Alligator mississippiensis: one gene and its partner. The protein of the gene in region 1 binds, or shares a complex with, the protein of each later gene. Links are inferred from orthologs where the notes say so. Each region holds a gene or a part of one and is shown on either strand. Other genes may lie near its edges. The genes, in order: OS9 and UBE2J1.

What was found.
Region 2: OS9 (region 1) and UBE2J1 share a complex: the UniProt entries of both Homo sapiens proteins name them as parts of the HRD1 complex. The link is inferred for Alligator mississippiensis from reciprocal best matches to the Homo sapiens genes OS9 and UBE2J1.

The regions. Positions count from the first base shown.
Region 1 is NC_081838.1:7,429,883-7,439,109, reverse strand, and holds the start of OS9 (protein OS-9), read right to left. Parts: upstream 4,319-9,227; 5' UTR 4,282-4,318; coding exon 4,138-4,281; intron 2,815-4,137; coding exon 2,638-2,814; intron 2,426-2,637; coding exon 2,362-2,425; intron 2,081-2,361; coding exon 2,004-2,080; intron 1,743-2,003; coding exon 1,644-1,742; intron 1,232-1,643; coding exon 1,030-1,231; intron 936-1,029; coding exon 813-935; intron 525-812; coding exon 439-524; intron 195-438; coding exon 152-194; intron 1-151. UniProt on the Homo sapiens protein: Lectin component of the HRD1 complex, which functions in endoplasmic reticulum (ER) quality control and ER-associated degradation (ERAD).
Region 2 is NC_081824.1:76,993,036-77,001,383, forward strand, and holds the start of UBE2J1 (ubiquitin-conjugating enzyme E2 J1), read right to left. Parts: upstream 4,108-8,348; 5' UTR 4,004-4,107; coding exon 3,973-4,003; intron 1-3,972. UniProt on the Homo sapiens protein: Catalyzes the covalent attachment of ubiquitin to other proteins. Functions in the selective degradation of misfolded membrane proteins from the endoplasmic reticulum (ERAD) and is essential for cells to recover from ER stress.

The DNA of each region.
Region 1 (9,227 bases):
AAGGGGCCAAAGCCCCAGGGGTGGGGGAGGAAGGGGCACATCAGGGTAGAGCTGGTGCCAGGGACCCCAATGCCCCCAAATCCTCCAGCTGGATGAGGCCATGGCACAAGCCCTTGCCCCGTGCCCCCCACACCTACGCGGAGGCACTCACCTGCCAGGGGGCCATCAGGCGCCTTTACTGTGGGTTCCTCCTCCTGTGTGGGAGCCAAAACAACACAACATGGTGGGGGCACGGCTGGGGTCACATGCCACCAACACCTTTGCAGCCAAGGCTGCTTAACCCCATGCTGCCCAGCCAGGGCTTTGCCCCCCCCATACCTGGCTGGACACAGACACACAGTGCCCCCTGCTGGCCCTGCCAGGAAGGAAGCAGGAGCCAGGACAGGAGTCAAGGGCACCCAGAGGATGGGCAAGGCACAGCACCCATGGCCCATGTACCTTGGTGGGGTCCAACGGGTCATCTGCTGTGGGTGGGGGGTCTCGGGGGCCAGCATTCTCTGCCGGGCTGGGAGCAGAGGGCTCACCTGGAACCAGACAGAGCAGTGCTGAGCGTGGCGCTGGGAGTAGGGGGGCCGTGCCCGCAGCTGCAGCCCCATCCCTACCTGGCACCTCCAGCCAAGCCTCCCACCCCCACTCAGGGAGAGAACCTGCCCCGCCCCCCCACCATAGTGAGTGCCTCCAGGTGGGTGTGGGTGTCCTTAAAGGGGCAGCGCCCCATTTGCAACCCAAGGATGCTCTCCAAGTGGCCTACACAAGCCAAGGCTCTTCCCCATCCCACACAGCTGAGGAACCCAGGAGTCCGACTGCCGTACCATCGAGGGAAGGGTCTTCCCTGGGTGGGGGCTTGGCCGGGCTGGGGTCCTGCTCACTCCAGAGCCGTGTGTCCAGCGTCCGTAGCTCCTCCGAGATCTCCTCCACCTTGCGCTTAGTGTCAGCTGAGGGAGGCCGAGGGCAGAGATCACACATGGGTGGGGGGGCAACCAGGCCCTGCCATCCGTATTGCCCCCCTCCCCCAGTCCGGATACTCACAGACTTGGGCCTGGACATACTGGAGGTACTGGGCAGGGCTTAGCGCAGGCTGGCAGCGGATGGGCTGGGGTGTGGCAGCTGCGGGTGGGCGTAGGAAGGGGTGGTGGCAGATGCGGGTCGTGTGCACTGTCAGCACATAGGAGCACGACTGTGGCTCATCCACCCGCGCGATGTAGTCACCCGAGCCCTCCTCGCACAGGAACTGGGGGGGAGGTGCAGGGGACATTAGTGTGGCCAGATCCCCCTACCCCCCAGGACCCCCCCCAACAAAGCACCCAGCCCCCCCCCCCCCCCCAATGCCTCCTCTAGCCAGAGCCCCTCACCCCCAATGATAACCCCTGCCCAGAGCTCCCTGGCCCACCCCTCCCCTCCCCTCCAGCCAGAGGCCCCCCACAAGCCCCTTCCCAGCCAGAGCCTCCCTGAGCCCTTTTCTAGCCAGATACCCCCACCTCGCAGGGTGTAATGACTCCTGGCAGCTAATTAGCACCCCCCACCCAATCACCACCCCTATGCCCACCCCAGAGGCCAGGAAAGCAGCACTGGGGGAGGACGCTGCCAACCAGCCAGGCAGTGAAAAGCCAGACCCTACCCCCCACAGCTGTTCCCCACCTTACCCGGACCTCAGCCTCTCTGGCGCGACCATTGAGGTCACACTTGGAGCCGTTGACGTAGGTCTGGCTATGATAGCGCTTGAGACGGTGCTGCTTCGAGGCCTGGGGGTGGGAAACCACAAGTCACTTCCTGCTTCAGGTGGAGAAACTGAGGCACACAGGTCACGGAAGAACCATAGAAAGTACATAGGTTCTGCTGCCAGAAAGCCAGGCCCTGCCGCCACTCACGAGCCAGCCTGTCCAGTCCCCCCAAGCCCACAGGAGACCCCAGCCCCCACTTTGCCCCAAAGAGCCCAGCCCCTGCTGATGCCTTCCCCTCATCCCACAGAAGCCCACCCCCCCATAACCCCCTATGCCCCGCACCTTGGCAGTCTCATTGTCCCAGTCAAAGGCAGATTGATAGTAGCCCAGGTACAGGACATCCCCCTTGATCTCCGACTCTACAGAGCCAAGGGCAAACAGTTACAGCCCGCACACCTGCGTGCGTGCAGCACCAGCATGCACGTGCATGCAGGGACACGGGTATTGGCAAGCCAGGCTCAGCTCTGTTATGACACTCGGGGATCCCTCATCCCATCTGGGCAAGGGAAGGGGAACATTAAATAAAGTGCGTGTAGGGGTGGAAACTGGCCACACAGGGCAGGGACACACGCATGTATGCACATACATGTTGCTGGGCCGGCAACATAACCCTAGCAGGAGTGTGGCCGGCCCGTGGTACCTTCAATGTGGTACTGCTGGATGTGCCTCCCGTAGCAGAACTCATATGTCCACCAGTCCTTGGTCTGGGGGAGGGAAGGTGGGTAACACGTGTGACTCCGGGCCCCCTCCAGTCACACATCACCCACCCCCCTCTCTGAGCCTGCCACGGCCTGCCTGAGCCTCGAACCAGTGGGCGCAAAGGGGGGGGGGGGCGACCCCCACCCGCTCCCCAGCAGGCTTTGTGGTGGGCACCTCCCATCCCACGTCCAGCCTCCGGTGCAGGCAGGTGCCTTACCTTACGGAGACAGGGCGCAGCACCCATGGGCCGCAGCAGCTCCATGATGCCCAGCCCGCTGTAACCCCGGGGGTCATCTTCAGGCTCCCGGTGGATCTTGATGGCAGCCGGCGGCAGGCGGCATTCGTACTTCTGCTTGTACTTGGAGGAGATGGTCACCACGTCCTCGGCCCGGCTCTGGGGGAGTGGGATACAGGGCCATCAGGGTTCTCCTGGGCTCTGTGTCCAGCCACCGGCACCAGGACCAGGGCAAAGGGCACCATTGGCTCCTCCCTGGCCCATCTGACCCATGACCCTCATCAGCAGTTTGCTCGTAGCCTCATGCAGCAACCCTGGCTTCCCATGCTGCTGCCCCCATCCCTCTTGTACAACCCGGCCCAGAAGTGCAGCCACTTCTGGGGTGAAGCTCCAGGGGCAGAGCACAGGCCGGCCACCAAACCTGACGCGGCAACCTCAAAAGTCTTGCTTCTGCTTTCTAGAAAGATTTGCCTACAGAGCACCGCGATCAGATGACTTTAGGAAGGAGGAAGCAGGGGCCAGCAAGATACCGTTATCTCCAAACCCAGGCACAGTTCACCTTCTCTACCCTGCGCTTCCCCATCCGGACCCAGGCAGCCAGAGCCGCCAGCAACAGTCGCTGTTGGTGCCCAGCCCAGCTGGGGGTTTGCGCCCTGCCCTGCCACAGCCAAACAGGAGGTAAGGGACAGGGGGCACGGCACGTGGGGAAACAGAGGCACGAGGTGGGGGGGTTAGTGAGACCTAGGGTGGGCTCGGGAAGCAGCTAGTGATGGGTGCCCCCACCCCAGGGCACAGGGGAGACGGGGTGATGGGAGGTGCTGGGACCAGGTCAGGATGAAGCCCCCTCAGGGAGTGCCAGGGTTTCATAGACGGTAGGGGCTGGAAGGGACCTAGCAGGTCATCGGGTCCAGCCCCCCCCCCCCCGCTCTAGGCAGGAAGACGACTGAAGTTAGATAGACCGCAACCAGGTCCAGTCTCCTCTTGAAAGCCTCCAGGGTAGGCGACTGCATCACCTCTGGAGGAAGCTTATTCCTCAGTCGGGACTCCCTGACCGTGAAGTTTTCCCTGGAATTAAGCCTGAAGCGGTCTGCCGGGAATTTGTATCCAGTGGTCCTGCCCTTCCCCGCGCTGCCCTAGCGCACAGCTGTTCACCCAGCTCCCCACGCACTCCTCCTCCCGGAGAGCGGCAAGCCGCTATCAGGTCCCCTCGGCCGTCTCTTCTTCGGGCTACAGACGCCCGGGTCCCTCAGCCTCTCCTGGCGCGTCCCCGACCAGGCGGGTGGCTCTTCTCTGCACCCGCTCCGGTTTGCCCACGTTGAAGCGCGGCGCCCAGAATTGGACGCTGCCCTCCCGCTGCGGCCTCACCAGCGCCGAGCACAGCGGGGGGGGGGGCCCTCGGGCAGTCTGACACGGGGGGGGGGGGCGTGTCCCGGGGGGGGCGCCCACCTCCCCCACAACCCTAGCCCGGCCCCTTGGTCCCACCTGCCCGGCCAGCACGGGCTCGGCCGCGATCTCGATGCCGTACTTGAGGTCGCTGAGCTCCTGCAGGTTGAGCGCGGCCCCGGCGCGGCCCGGGCCCAGCAGCGCCAAGGCCAACGCCGGGAGCAGCACCCACCGCGCCGCCATCTTGCTCCCTCCCTCCTACCCGCCGCCGCCGCTGCTTCCGCCCGTCCCCGCAGGGCCTCGCGCCGCCTCTCCCGCGCCGCCGCGGAGCGCCGTGCGATTGGGTCTCTCTCCCTGCCAATCACCGCTGCCGCTTTTTCATTGGCCGCCAGCTAAGAGCGCGTGAGGCCGGACAGGGACTGTCACCCGGGAGGCTGGGATTGGTCCGCGTCTACCCTCGCAGCGGCAAGGAGGAGCTAGTGGCGTGATTCTGAGCGCTTTTAAAGGGCCAGCGGCATCAGGGAGCCGAGTCCCTGGCGGCCGCTCTGCGGCCGCGGGAAGGAGGGGATTGGTTGAACGAGATCACATGACCCAAAGGAGCTGTCACCGTGCTCAAGGGCTGGGACGAGGCACGTGGGCGGGGCCCTGGGGCAGAGGGCGATGGCCGGCTTGCATTCAGCCTGGGGCTGGGGCTGGGGGGCCACCAGCTGAGATGGAGAGGGGGTCTCTGGGTCCCCCAATGCCCTCTGACCTGACTCAGGGGTGGGATCCTGCTCCGGGGCAGTGGTGCTAGGGCAGCAGCCCTGGGGTAGGGGGGTGATGGCAGGCCTGAATCCAGCCTAGGGCGGGTGGCCCACCAGCTGAGATGGGGAGGGGGTCTCTGGGCCCCCCAATGCCCTCTGACCTGACCCAGAGGTGGGATCCTGCTCCGGGGTGGTGGCGCTGGGGGCAGCAACCCTGGGACAGGCTGGGCAGAGGCCAGGCGAGGCAGCTGGTTACTTCCTCCACAACTGCATGCTTGCTCGCATGCCAAAAAAAGAAGCAGCCAGACCAGGGAGGAAACACGGCCTGCTGAGCACACCTCACCATGGCCCCAGCCCGCTGTACCCAGAGGAAGGGCGAAGGCCGGCCAGGGCCCATCTCACCTGGGATCGGCCTCCGGGTCGTGGGGGGAACCCCCCACCCACACCCAGCGCCACCCCCTTGCCCTGGGCATGGGGTCACTGCGGATCCCAGAGTGCCCGAGGCCACGTGCTCACTCCTGGCCTGGCCACCCGGCTTCAGGGATGTAGCAGCTCCGCACTGCCGGCCTGGTAACTGGAGCTAACCCTGCTCCTGTCAGAGCCATCCATTAGGAGCAGCAAATTAAAAGCTTTTTTCTATGTAATGAATAGAAGATGCGGTTAGGGTCAGGGCCCGGGTGATGCCCTCACCTGCTGCTTCCCAGGCCCCAGATTTGTGGGCACCAGCTGGGCACCAAAGCTGTGGCTGAGCTGGGTACCCCAAGGCTCACGGGCCAGGCCCAGGGGAGCTCCCCTTTCTCCTTCATTCAGCAATAGGAAGGGAAATTCCTTCCCGCTGGTCCACCCCAGAGCTAGCCGCATTAGCAAAGCCTGGCCCCCGGTTCAATGCTAGGAGGATACATGGAGGGTTAAAGCCGGGTGTTCTCCACTCCAGAGACACCCGCCGCACAGCCTGGGCCCAGCCCAGGGAGCAGCCACCCACCCCCGGGAGCACAATGAACCCCTTTGTGCCCAGCCCCAGGGCCACTCGGCACGGACACAACGAGGGGGATTGTTATCTGGGGAGAACATCTGCATCCAGGCCCGGGCTCCCCTGCGGCTCTTGCCTGCCCGCGGCCTGCCAAGCCCCGCCTGGCACCCTGCCCGGCTTAAACACCCGGGCTCAATCCCAGCTAGTTATGAGACTGCGGTGGATCAGGGCCTCTGGGAGTGGATGGAGGGGAGCGAGCAGGGGAGGCCCCCGGGGCAGGGGAATCAGCCCCATCCCTGGCAAGGAGCCTAGGAGGTCTCAGCCCTGGGCCTTGCCCTGCCCTGCTCCTCCAGGCACCCATCCTGCTGCATGCCTCAGTTTCCCCACTTGGGACAGCTGCATTACACATCCCTGCATCCCGCTGTGTCCTCCCCAGCTGGGAGCTGACACGAGCCCCTACTTGGGGGTCCTGACAATATCTCCCCCCACCTCCAGCTACAGAGAGGGGCCACGCAGACCCTCGGGACACCTGGTCCCACTCCCAGCTCAGCACCCGCCCAGGGGATATTGTCTGTGCAGGGCCTGGCGCTGCACCCCTGGCTGGGGGCAATGCACCTAATAATACCCCAGCCCCCCCACCCCCCGGGGTGGACTCCCCCCTCCCCACCCTCTGGGAGCTCCTGGGGGGCCCCGATCCTGGGCACTGCCAAGCAGGGGGGCAAAGGGGGGGTGTCCCAAAATAGCCCCTCCTCCTCCCTTTGTGCGGGGATCCCTTTGTCTGAGCCCAGGAAGCCCCCCCCCCCGGACCCCCGGAGCCAGGCAGGGGCTGGGGGGGGCGGGGACCCGCAGTCAGTCCCGCCGGGGGCCGCCAGGGGCGCCGCCGGTCCCCGGCCGGGGCCGCGCATCCTGCATCCCTCCCGCATCCCGCATCCTGCATCCCGCCCGCGCCGGGCCCCGCCGGGAGGATGTGAGCGAGCCCGGGCGAGCCCCTCCGCAGGGCACAGGTAGGGCGCGGGCAGCGCGCCGGGGGGCTGCGGTATTGCCCCCCCCCCACATGCCTGGCATGGGGCAGGGAGGGGTGGCAGCACTGGGGGGGCTGGATTGGGTCCTACCTGCCCCCCCCCCCCCGGCCTTGCACTGGAGCCAGACAATAGCAGATCCCCCCGTACCCTCTCCTGGCACCCCCCCCCCCCCACACACACACACATAGTGGAATCGGGGGGGGGGGGCTTGCTGGGTACTCTGCCCTCCCCCTCCCCAAAGCCTGGCAGGGGGCAGGGGTGGTAGCAGCCCTGGGGAGGGCCTGGATTGGGTCCTACCTGCCCCCCCCCCAGCCTTGCATTGCAGCTAGACAATAGCAGAGCTCCCCCCCCCCCACACACACACACACACAAGGGGGGATTCACCGGGCACCACCCAAAGGCAGCCGCCATCCGTGCCCAGGCAGGGGGAGCATGGGAGGGGCATTTGGGGCTCTCCCTTCTCTGGTTGCATTCACCCTGGGGTGCTTCATGGGTTATCTGGGTGCCTCCCGCTTGGGTACCTGCCCCCCTTAGGTTCATCCAGAGGCAAAGGGGCATGGGAAGGTGCCTCCCACCAAGGTGGCACCAGGCACCCCCCCCATTTGCCATAAGCCAGGAGGCTGCAGAGGCTGCCCTGGGCCCCAGCCAGGCCCGGGGAGGCACAGACAATGCCGGGTTTCAGCATTGTTCCAGTGCCTGCCCCTGCCCAGGGGCACTGCAGGACTCTGCTGGTGGGGGGGCAGGGCAAGGAGAGTTGGCATCAGAGAGGGGCTTTGCCCAGCTCTGCTGCACCCCACTGAATGGGGGGTCCCCACTCCACCCCCCTGAGCAGGAGACAGGCACTGGAAGCCCAGACAGCCCCTGCCAGGCCCTCTGCACCCTGGGGCTGCACGGTCACCTGGCCCCAGAAGCCCCCCACCCAGCCCAGTGTCTTTCCCCCAGGCTGGTGCTGCCCAGAGGCCATGCCCGTGCCCAAGTGAGGTGAGGGGCTCCATGCCCACGGCCCGACAAGCCCAGGAAGTGCCAAGCACGCGGACCAAGGTGAGCATGGGCAAGGCTGGGGGGAGGGGGCGGGTGAGCCAACCCTTGGCAGGGATGGGGAGCACCCAGCACTGGGGGGGTGGGGCGGGTGGCTGGAGGAGGGTCAGCCCTCCCAGGGCCTTCCTACAATGCCCTGCTGCAATCGCCCCAAGAGCCAGGCATGAGTGAGCAAGGTGCCAAGGGAGATGCCACCCCCTCTGCATCCCACAATGCATTGCAGCTGTGCCCCCACAAGGCAGCAAAGGATGCTGGGATGCCTCCCCCAATGCACCATCGCCTATGAGCTCCTAGCCCTGCCTACTCCGTACCTGCTTGGTGGAGGGGGTCCCTGGGGCCTGGCTGCGGCCCTTGCCCCCCCACCTTGCCAGCCACACCCTCTGGCTGCCTCCCCTCCCCTGCATCCAGGGCTGGGCACTGATTTATTTGAATTGCAAACTCCAGGCTTCTCCTTCCTGCCTAAGCAGCGCAGGGCTGGGTGAGAAGGCATGGAGGGGAGACCCACCCACCCTGCAGGCCCTGTCACTGTCCTGTTGCCCTTGGTCCACCTCCTTCAGGCTCGTTGCAGTGGGTGGGAGAGCTTCTCCTCCCCAGAGCTGGTTGGTTGCATCGGGGTGCAGCACTGGATGGGAGCAGCATGATCCAGTGCCAGGCCACGTGCAGACCTCTTATGGGTGCCAAGGGAGAGTCGTGGGGAGGGAGGGTGGGAGCCAAACAACCGCACCAACTAATTAGCAAATGAGGGCATTTGAGCCAAGAGGTTGCTTGGCATTTTTGTGTCAGTCCCAACCTTCAGCAAACAGGATTGGGGGAAGTGGGGGGGGCTCACTTCCAGCAGTGGAAACTGAGGCACGGAGCAGGTCGGACGGGCACCCCTGGATTCCCCCCAACCCCTGTGGCTCTGGTTGGGGGCAGGGCTGTGCCACTGTTGCCCCTCGCTCCTCACCCCCTGGCAGGTAGGATCCCCTCAGGGAAGCGGACGGGTGACACCCGGGAGTCTGCAGCCCAAAACCTGGCACCTCCCTTCCCTGCCCCCCTCCCATGCAACACCCTGGGGGGTGCTGGGCACGGAGGGAGCCTGGCACACCCTGCAAAGGTGTCCTTGAGCCACAGTTCCAGTGGGGGGGTGAAGGTAATGTAATATGGGGGGGGCTGGCATTGCCCCCCTGGCCACGTATGGGGCGAATAGCAGGGAAGAGTGGGGGGCACTGGCGTTCCCTGCTCCAGCTGCTGTTCCCCTCCTGCCAGAGGCCTGTAGAGGAGGGGCAGCTGCCCCTGCCCAGGGGGCTCCAGCTGGGGCCGGCTGGGGGGGCCGGACAGGCCCATTAAAAGACTCCTGGCAGCTGGAGCAGCAGTTTCCAATTTCCTGTCTCTGTTGATCGCTTGCAGCAGCGGGGGTTGGGGGGCGGCCTCCGG
Region 2 (8,348 bases), on another chromosome or scaffold:
TCTCTTCTGTGTTATCAATAAGTCAAGATCCCTACCTGTGTGCAGCTGTCTCAGTAACAGCAGAGAGAAAAATCATTAAAGAAATTAGAAAAATGGAATTACAATGCTACAGAAATTGTTAGGGGAAAATATAAAAGCAACAAAACTGCTTTCAACTTATTTCAAACTTTACATGTAGATTCTAAACTGACATTAGCTTCCTAAGTTAAGAGTAACTGCTTCCAGACTGCATATACCATAGAGATGCCAGAAAGCTTGCCAGGTAAGCCAGCTGTTTCCCAGCTTCACCTCCTTACAATAACATTTCCCTTTCCTAGACTCACAGAGCTCTTGTATTTATCCAAAAAGATATTCCACAGACTCCTGGGAAAAAAGGGAAAACTTCCTGTATCTTCACCACCACTCCCAACCAAGTTTGTGACCTTCCCACCCTCCTTGGAACTACAAGGCAACAAAAGACCCTTCTAATTTCTGTAGCTGAACACTTGTAGGTTTTGAGATACTGATTGAAGACCTATTAATAATTCAGAAAAAAGGGACTGAGCTGTGGGCTGTGTTTGATACCCCTGCCTTAGTAGAGTTAGATTTAACTGTGGGGAATATAACAGTATAGCAGAGTAATGTGTGTTGATATCACCCACAAAAATCTTTGTTTATGACAATGGTAAATGTATTTAGTACCCTTAATACCCTCATATCTAGCACATTTAACTAATAAGTACAGATTTTAATACTGTTTTGTGTATTTTGAATTATGTTTTCCAGCCAAAGATTTTTTTAATCAGCTACCAAAAATGAAATGCATTGTGTTCTAACAAGAGAGAGAAAAAAACCCTAAGAAGCTGAATAATTGCTATGCTATGCAAGCGCTTAAACACCTGGAATATGTTCCCATTAGCAAAAAGTGCCAAATTTAGCATAAAGGCTACATTTAGCTGCCAATCACCATGTTTTAATGGGTACCAACCAACAAAAATCTTTACGGACAAAAAAACCAAGCAGCACCAATGCAAAAAGTTTAAAATCAACTATTTAAATCAAGAATGATTGCTTGCTGATTTAAATCATTGATAAAATTAGAGACTGAAAACATTTCATGTTTTTGTAATAAATAAAGAACTGAATTATAAAGTTTAACTCAGTTCTTTATCTTTTAAAGCACTCTTTTAAACTCAAAAGAGTTAAAAGTGTGGAGAAATCACAAGCTGGTTGAATTTAGAATTCAGTTTTGTTACAGTAGCTGTATTTTGTTATTTCATGCAGCTGTTGACCACTAGTTTCATTTTGAACCATCTTTTGTTGAACACAATTAGGATCTTGTAACAGCAGTGGGGGAAAAAATTTCCAGATTAACCACAGGCACTTGCTCTCTCCACCCAGTTACCAAGGTTGCATTATTCAGTGCAATGCCATTCTTTCCAGTGACGTGGCAAGCCATAACAAATGGGTGTGCTTGCATGCCTCATCAGTTGACATATGCAATAAACCAAACCTAAATATACTTAAGTGTGTCTGATTTCCTAAGTTGATTATTTTAAAAAGTTATCATCTTGTACTTTTGTCTGTGTGACCCTTCTACTTACAAGTTTTTTTTTTGAGAAGTCACAGCTCTAATGTATTTGTTGCTATATGAAAATATATGATATCAATGAAGATGATTAGAGGCCTGAGAGGCATGACTTACAAGTAAACACTGAAAGAACTAGTGTTGGGTTATTTAGTCTTGAGAGGAAAAAATTGAGGGGAATTTGATAACACTTCAAATACCTGAAGGGTGATGATAATAGAGCTCTGTATACATTGAAAGGAAGTGGGAGAATACTCCCAGGTTTGTTCTCATGGTAGAGAAACTTATCTAAAGCCACATACCTCATACAGACATTCAGTTTCTCCTGGGAGAGTCACTGCTCTCTTAGGAGAAACCACAAGTGTACAGATGATCAGGCTTTTCACCAAAAATAAAAAAAGGCCACTCCTGGAAAAAAATAACCTGGGAACAGCCAGGGTTAAATCACTCCCAAATGTCTGTACCTGATAGGGCTTCTTTCAAAGGAGAACAGAGTCCTCAAGTTTCAGCAAGAAAAATTTAGGTTGGAGATTAAAAGGAACTTCCTGACTGAGAGACTGGTCAAGAAATTGTGGAATCTCCATCCTTGGAGGTTTTCCAGGAGCAGGTTAGACAGAAAATTAGCTAGGATGGCGTAGTCAGGGATTATCCTACCTTGAGCAGAGGACTGTACTAGATAACACTGTAAGGTCCCCTCCAGCACTCTTCTCAAATGATCAGGCATGTCTAATGTGTTTGCTATAACTATAAACTATTCCTATGTATTACTCTGAAGCTTACGCATTTGGTGAAATAAGCTTTTTTGACATGTACTTAAAAAGCAAATTAACAAAATGTATCTATTTCAGTGCAAGCATGGTACATGGGAAAGAACACATAAGAGGAAACTACTGTGTTGCTATATACAAAATGTTTTTGACAAAAGTCAAACTATGTACAGAAGCCCATGTAGTGTCAATAAATTAACACGGAAAATAGCCAGGAAATTCTAAGCTGAGGTAAAAAATTAAAAAAAAATAAAAATAAATTATGAAACGACTTTTCATTTCCATACATTTCAGTACTGAAAATTAAATTACTCCAAACAACTGACTGCATTCTAGTGCAGCCTGGGTCACACAAGTGAGGAACACCTATAATGTGTTCTTAGTCTATAAAGTGCAAATTGGACCAACCGGCTAGCAGCCTCTTAAGACGGGTGGGTCTTTTTTTTTTTTTTTTTAATAGATGCAGGGCCTCCTAACTTCACATTCCCATGACCAACTACCTCTCTCTTGTCTACAACATAACATAGTTCCTTTTACTGCATGCCAGGGGGAGAGCACACCCCTCAACAAAGGTCCACTGTTTACAGACATAAGGTCTGCTCTCTTCTTCTGTGCAAGAGTCACTGCTCATGGGGAAGGCCAGGCATGTCAACCAATTGGTCATGCCCAACTCCACTTGCACTGACAATACCACTGCGGCTTCAGACAGGAATTGGAGGAGACTGGCAACGTACAAGGAACAGTGGGAGTTAGCTGCAGGTCGCCAAACAGATTACACATTGCAGCCAAACGTACAATCCCTTGTTTTTAAAGTCGCACACAATGGCTAGCAGCAGCCACAAATGCTAGGCTCATGTCAGGGCCTTTAATGAGAACGACTGTCCTCTCCAACCGTTTTATGCCTTCATTGATGGTGGCCTGGTTTTCTGATGGTTGCATCCCTAAAAAAATTCAGCACTCTCCCCACCCCCACTCCACGTTTCCCCATCTTCATTCCACCTCACATTTACCAACAACAGCGATCCTCCCTAAGGCACCCTCGAGCCTTTCATGGGTGCCGCAGGTGGGGGCCCTCACGCAATGTTAGCGCTGTACACACTCGAGCGCGACTCAGCCGAGACACCCAGAGATGTCAGGTCGGGCATGAGGACACCCTCTGCCCACGGATTCCACCAGCTGGAGGGGAACCGCTCCCGTGCCTCCGAGCAGCCGGGAAAGGAAAACCAAAGGGGAATGAAGCGCTGACGTTTCCCACCCCCCCGCGGGTGGGGCGCCCTCAGTCTGACAGAGGCTGCCTGGGGCCTGGCCAGCCGGAGCCCCAGCGGCTTGAAGGGAGACGCCGATGGATGCCCCGGGCTCCAGGGTTAGGCCAGGGCAGCTCAGTCCCGTCCCTCCCCTGCCCGCCCCTCCCCCCCGCAGATGTGAGCTTAGCCGCCCCCAGCTCCTGCCCCTGGGGGGCAATGCCCTGCCCTGCCTGGAAGCTGCCCCGGGCCTCGCGCAGGCGCGGACAGGGCCAGCCGGCCGGGGGTCCAGGCCAGGGCCTGCGCCCGGCGCCAAACCGCGGCCTCGAGTGCCAAGGAGCCGCCGCCGCCGGACGGGAGAAGCAGCCTAGCGTAGCGGGGGTGAGAGGCCGCTTACCCGGGCTCTTGAGGTTGTAGCGGGTCTCCATGGCCCGGCGGCGCCGCGAGAAGGGAAGGGAAGAGAAGGGGCGGGCGAAGCCGGCTGAGCCTCCTGACGTGGCGGCGGCGGCGGCGGCGGCGGCTCCTCTGTGACTGAGGCCAGTGGGCGGGGCGGGGCGGGGCGGGGGAGGCGCCGATTCGCCCGCCCCTCGGCCTAGCCCGGCCCTCCCCTGGCGCGGGGGGGCGAGGACAGGCCTGGCTCGGGCATAGCTGCTGGGCCTTGGCCCCGGCTTTGCGTCCAAAACCGAGTGAAAGTTTGCGAGCTAGCAGGGCCCCGGCCCCGCGGACGGAGCGCGGCGGTCTGGCGGGGTAGGTCTGGCCTTTGCTGCCCCGGCGGGGGTCCTTCCCGCCTCCTGCCTCAACACGTGCCTGGGGAGCTGCGGTTGCGGCAGGGAAAGCAGGGCGGGAAGAGGCCCGGCTGCGCCATGGAGTTCACGTCCCGTTCATTCCTGGTTAAGCCCTCCCGGACGGGGGTCTGTCCAAGCTGCTCTTGAAAATGTCCAAGGATGCAGATTGCACCACCTTTTTAGGGAGCTTGTCCCTGCGCCTGACTGCCCTCGTAGTCCGAAACTCCCTCCTAGTTCTCTCCAGCCTACCTTTTCCCTGTTGAAGGAGATACACGTGTGTGTGTGTGTGTGTGTGTGTCCTGCGGGCCTTTGTGCAGGCTGCGCGGGTGCGGCTTTGGTAACAGGTTATGGTTTTCTTTGTGGAGTAATACTTGGAGTGTAGATATAGATATAACCTCATATAGATAAATAGATATTTTTCAAAAAAACTCGCTAGCTTGCTCCTGTGGCCCTACGGCTGAGGGCGAGGGAAACCCGGGGACATCCGAACCCCAAGCCTCTTGGCTTGGGCCTGCCCATAGGACGGCTGCCAAAGGATTTGGAAGCATCCGAAGCCTGGGGTAGGGGTGGAGGATGTTTGCCAGTAATAGGGTTACATATGGTTCTTGAATGACTCACAGATTTGGAAATGATTTGGCTGATTTGACTTGGGACATGAAAAATTTTCCTTAAAAAAAAAAAAAAACAAGCCTGAGTTTCCGTTGACGAAGCTGCAGGCCACTGTTCCCTGTCCTGTCCCCTACAGCCAGAGAAAAAAGCCCATCTCCATCTCCTCTGTAATTGCCCTTCAGGTATTTGAAGACTTATCAAATCCTTCCTCCCCTATGTGCCTTATTCCAGGTACAGCGGGAGCTCGGGATCGCCATCCCACGTTGCCCCTACACTGGCAAATAACAAGCTCTTGTAGCTGATAGGACTCTTGCTCCCCACAGGATGCAGGGTGCAGCGGGGCCTGAGCATCCTGCCAGGTGTGGGACTTGCAGCCCCAGGGTGCCTTGGCAGCTAGGAGATCACAGCAGCTGCAGTCTCCCAGCTGTGGGGGCACAGGCTACACATGCAAATTAAAGCTGGCTAGAAACCAGCTATGAAGTTATTACACACTTTCCAGCAATAACTTGATAGCTGGTTGGCCCTTAAGGTGCCAGAGTTCATTTGCACGTGTAGCTAATCTAAATTAGTAGAGGGGGGCCTTGGAAGTTGACACCATCTTCTTTCCAAGAACAGCAACGAAGGGGAAAACTTCACCCATAGATTATGATGAGGCGGTACGGACTTGAATTTACCAGCTGTCCATACTCTTACTACATAGCTTGGCTGAACATCCCAGGGTTTCCCAAACTTCTCAAAGAGCCTGATAAATATATAACTGTACAGGTTTTTTCAACGTTGTCTTGCCAGCTGTTTAACAAGGTGAACTTGAGGTTTTTTCCACGAAATTGAAAGCCACAGCTCCCTCAGGACATTTTTTTGGTTTGTTTTAACTTTAAATGTAGACACCAAAGGTTACACACATAGGAACGGCCTAGTTTGCAGAGACACCAAGTTCCCATTGACTTCACTGGATACTGTGGACAAATGGATTAATTCAGGGATGTTCTTAAGTGTCTATGTTTTATCACCCAAATTTGAAAATGTTAGTCCTGAATCCTGGTTTACCATTCATCTGATCTCTAGCTCAGAAGTTTAAAAAATTACTCTTTGCTTTCCACTCCTGAAGTTGGTGCTGGTACAGATAGTCATTTCAGTCCACCTTCTGAGTGGAATAGTGTACAAGCAATCTTTTTGCCTACAAGGCAAAATTCCAGTTCTAGTTCCAGCAGTTGAAGGCACAGGAAACCTTATCTTACCTTAGGGTGGGATGTATTCAACAGGGCAAGGTTATAAAAATATTCAGGAAGGGAGTAATTGAGAAATTACCCATTACATCAGCTGGTGCACAAAAGCCATCCCTACTGCTCTTCCATTGTAACATTTATATGCCCAAGGAAATGGTCACAATTTGGGGATATATAGAAAAGCTGCAGTACTTTAATAAGCAGGATTTTGACATTTTCGGATTGTGTTGCAGATATGGGTCAAAGTGTATGAAGCCATCTTGTTCAGGATCAGTAAGGAGCATTCCATTATACAGTGTTCCCCTCTCCCCTCACTCGGATTCGCTAAGTGGGAGAACTATGCTAGGATTCACTGTAACTTTTTTCTGTTATCGTAAGAGTATTATTATCTGTGCCCACAAATCCTCCCCCATGAAAAGTACTTTGAATGCAAATATTATGTGAATAAATGCATAATTCAAGTACAGCAATATTTCTTGTGTAGTTGCAAGAATCATGTGAACTTCCCTTATCACTTCATGGGTGTTGAGAGTTGTGCTAGAGAGTGGTTATGGCATAAACTTTTTATAGCCAAAGGAAGCACCTGCACTGAATAAGAAACTGCAGGTTTTAGCAAAAAGAATTGCACAGTCATCATAACTGCAGCAGACTAAATATTATTGCTTAAAAAGATTTCACAAACCTGCAATCTACAAATAAACTTTTCCATTTACTTAAAACCTATTTTTGACAGTTTTAGATTAAGGGTTACCACTATGTGCAATACAGGAGTATTGATAGGAGATTGATATTTATTTGCTAGTCCCAGTCAACAGCCAGAAATCTGATGTCACGCAGCCCTTTAGCGCCTAACTAGATTTAGTTTAGCCTGTTGATTACTTCAGGGTAAACATAAGAAGTTAGACTTTCTTCAAACAGCTAGCAGAAGTTTCCCAATCACAGGCCCTGGTTTTCATGGGGGACTTCAGTCCCTTTGACATCTGCTGGGAGGACAATACAGCAGTGCGCAGGCAATCCAGGAAGTTTTTGGAGAGTGTTGGGGACAACTTCCTGGTGCAAGTGCCAGAGCATCTAACTAGGGGCTGTGCTCTTCTTGACTTGCTGCTCACAAACAGAGAAAAATTGTTGGGGAGTATACTAGCAGATGGCATTTGGGCAGCAGCAACCATGAAATGACTGAGTTCAGGATCCTGAGGAAAGGAAAGAGGGAGAGCAGCAAAGTAAGTATCCTGGACTTCAGAAAAGCAGACTAACTCAGGGTTGGGAAGCCATTCTGAAATGGAGAGGAGTCCAGGAGAGCTGACTGTACTTTAAAGAAGCCTTACTGAGTGTAGGAACAACCCATCCCAATGTGCAGGAAGATTAGCAAATATGGCAGAAGACCAGCCTGGCTAAGCAGGGAACTCTTCAGTAAACTAAATAACAAAAGGGAAGCTTATAAGAAATGGAAACTTGGACAAACAACTAGGGAGGGGTATAAGAGTATTGCTTTAGCATGCAGGGATGAAGTCAGGAAGGCCAAAGTGCAATTGGTGTTGCAGCTAGCAAGGGACATGGTAGGTAACAAGAAGGGTTTCTACAAATATGTCAGTAACAAAAGGAAGACCAAGGGAAATGTGGTTCCTTTATTGAATGGGGGACAGAGAATGCCGAAAAGGCTGAAGTGCTCAATGCCTTTTTCACCTCAGTCTTCACAAGCAAGGTCAGCTCCCAAACTACTGCCCCTGCCAGCACAGTTTGGGGAGGAGGTAGCAGCCAACAGTGACAAAATAAGAGGTTAGGGATTATTTAGAAAAACTGGGAATATACAAGTCCATGAGGCCAGATGGGATGCACCCAAGGGTGCTGAGGGAGTTGGCTGTTGTGATTGCAGAGACACTGGCGATCATCTTTGAAAACTCATGGCTATCAGGAGAGGTCCTGGGTGATTGGAAAAGGGTAGGAATAGTGTCCATATTTAAGAAACGGAAAAAGGAGGATCCAGGGAACTACAGACCAGTCAGCCTCACCTCAGTCCCTGAAAAAATCGAGGAGGTCATCAAAGAATCTACTTCTAAACATTTGGAGGAGGAGAAGGTGATTAGGAACAGTCAGCATGGATTCACCAAGAGCAAGCCATGCCTGACCAATCTGATTGCTTTCTATGATGAGAT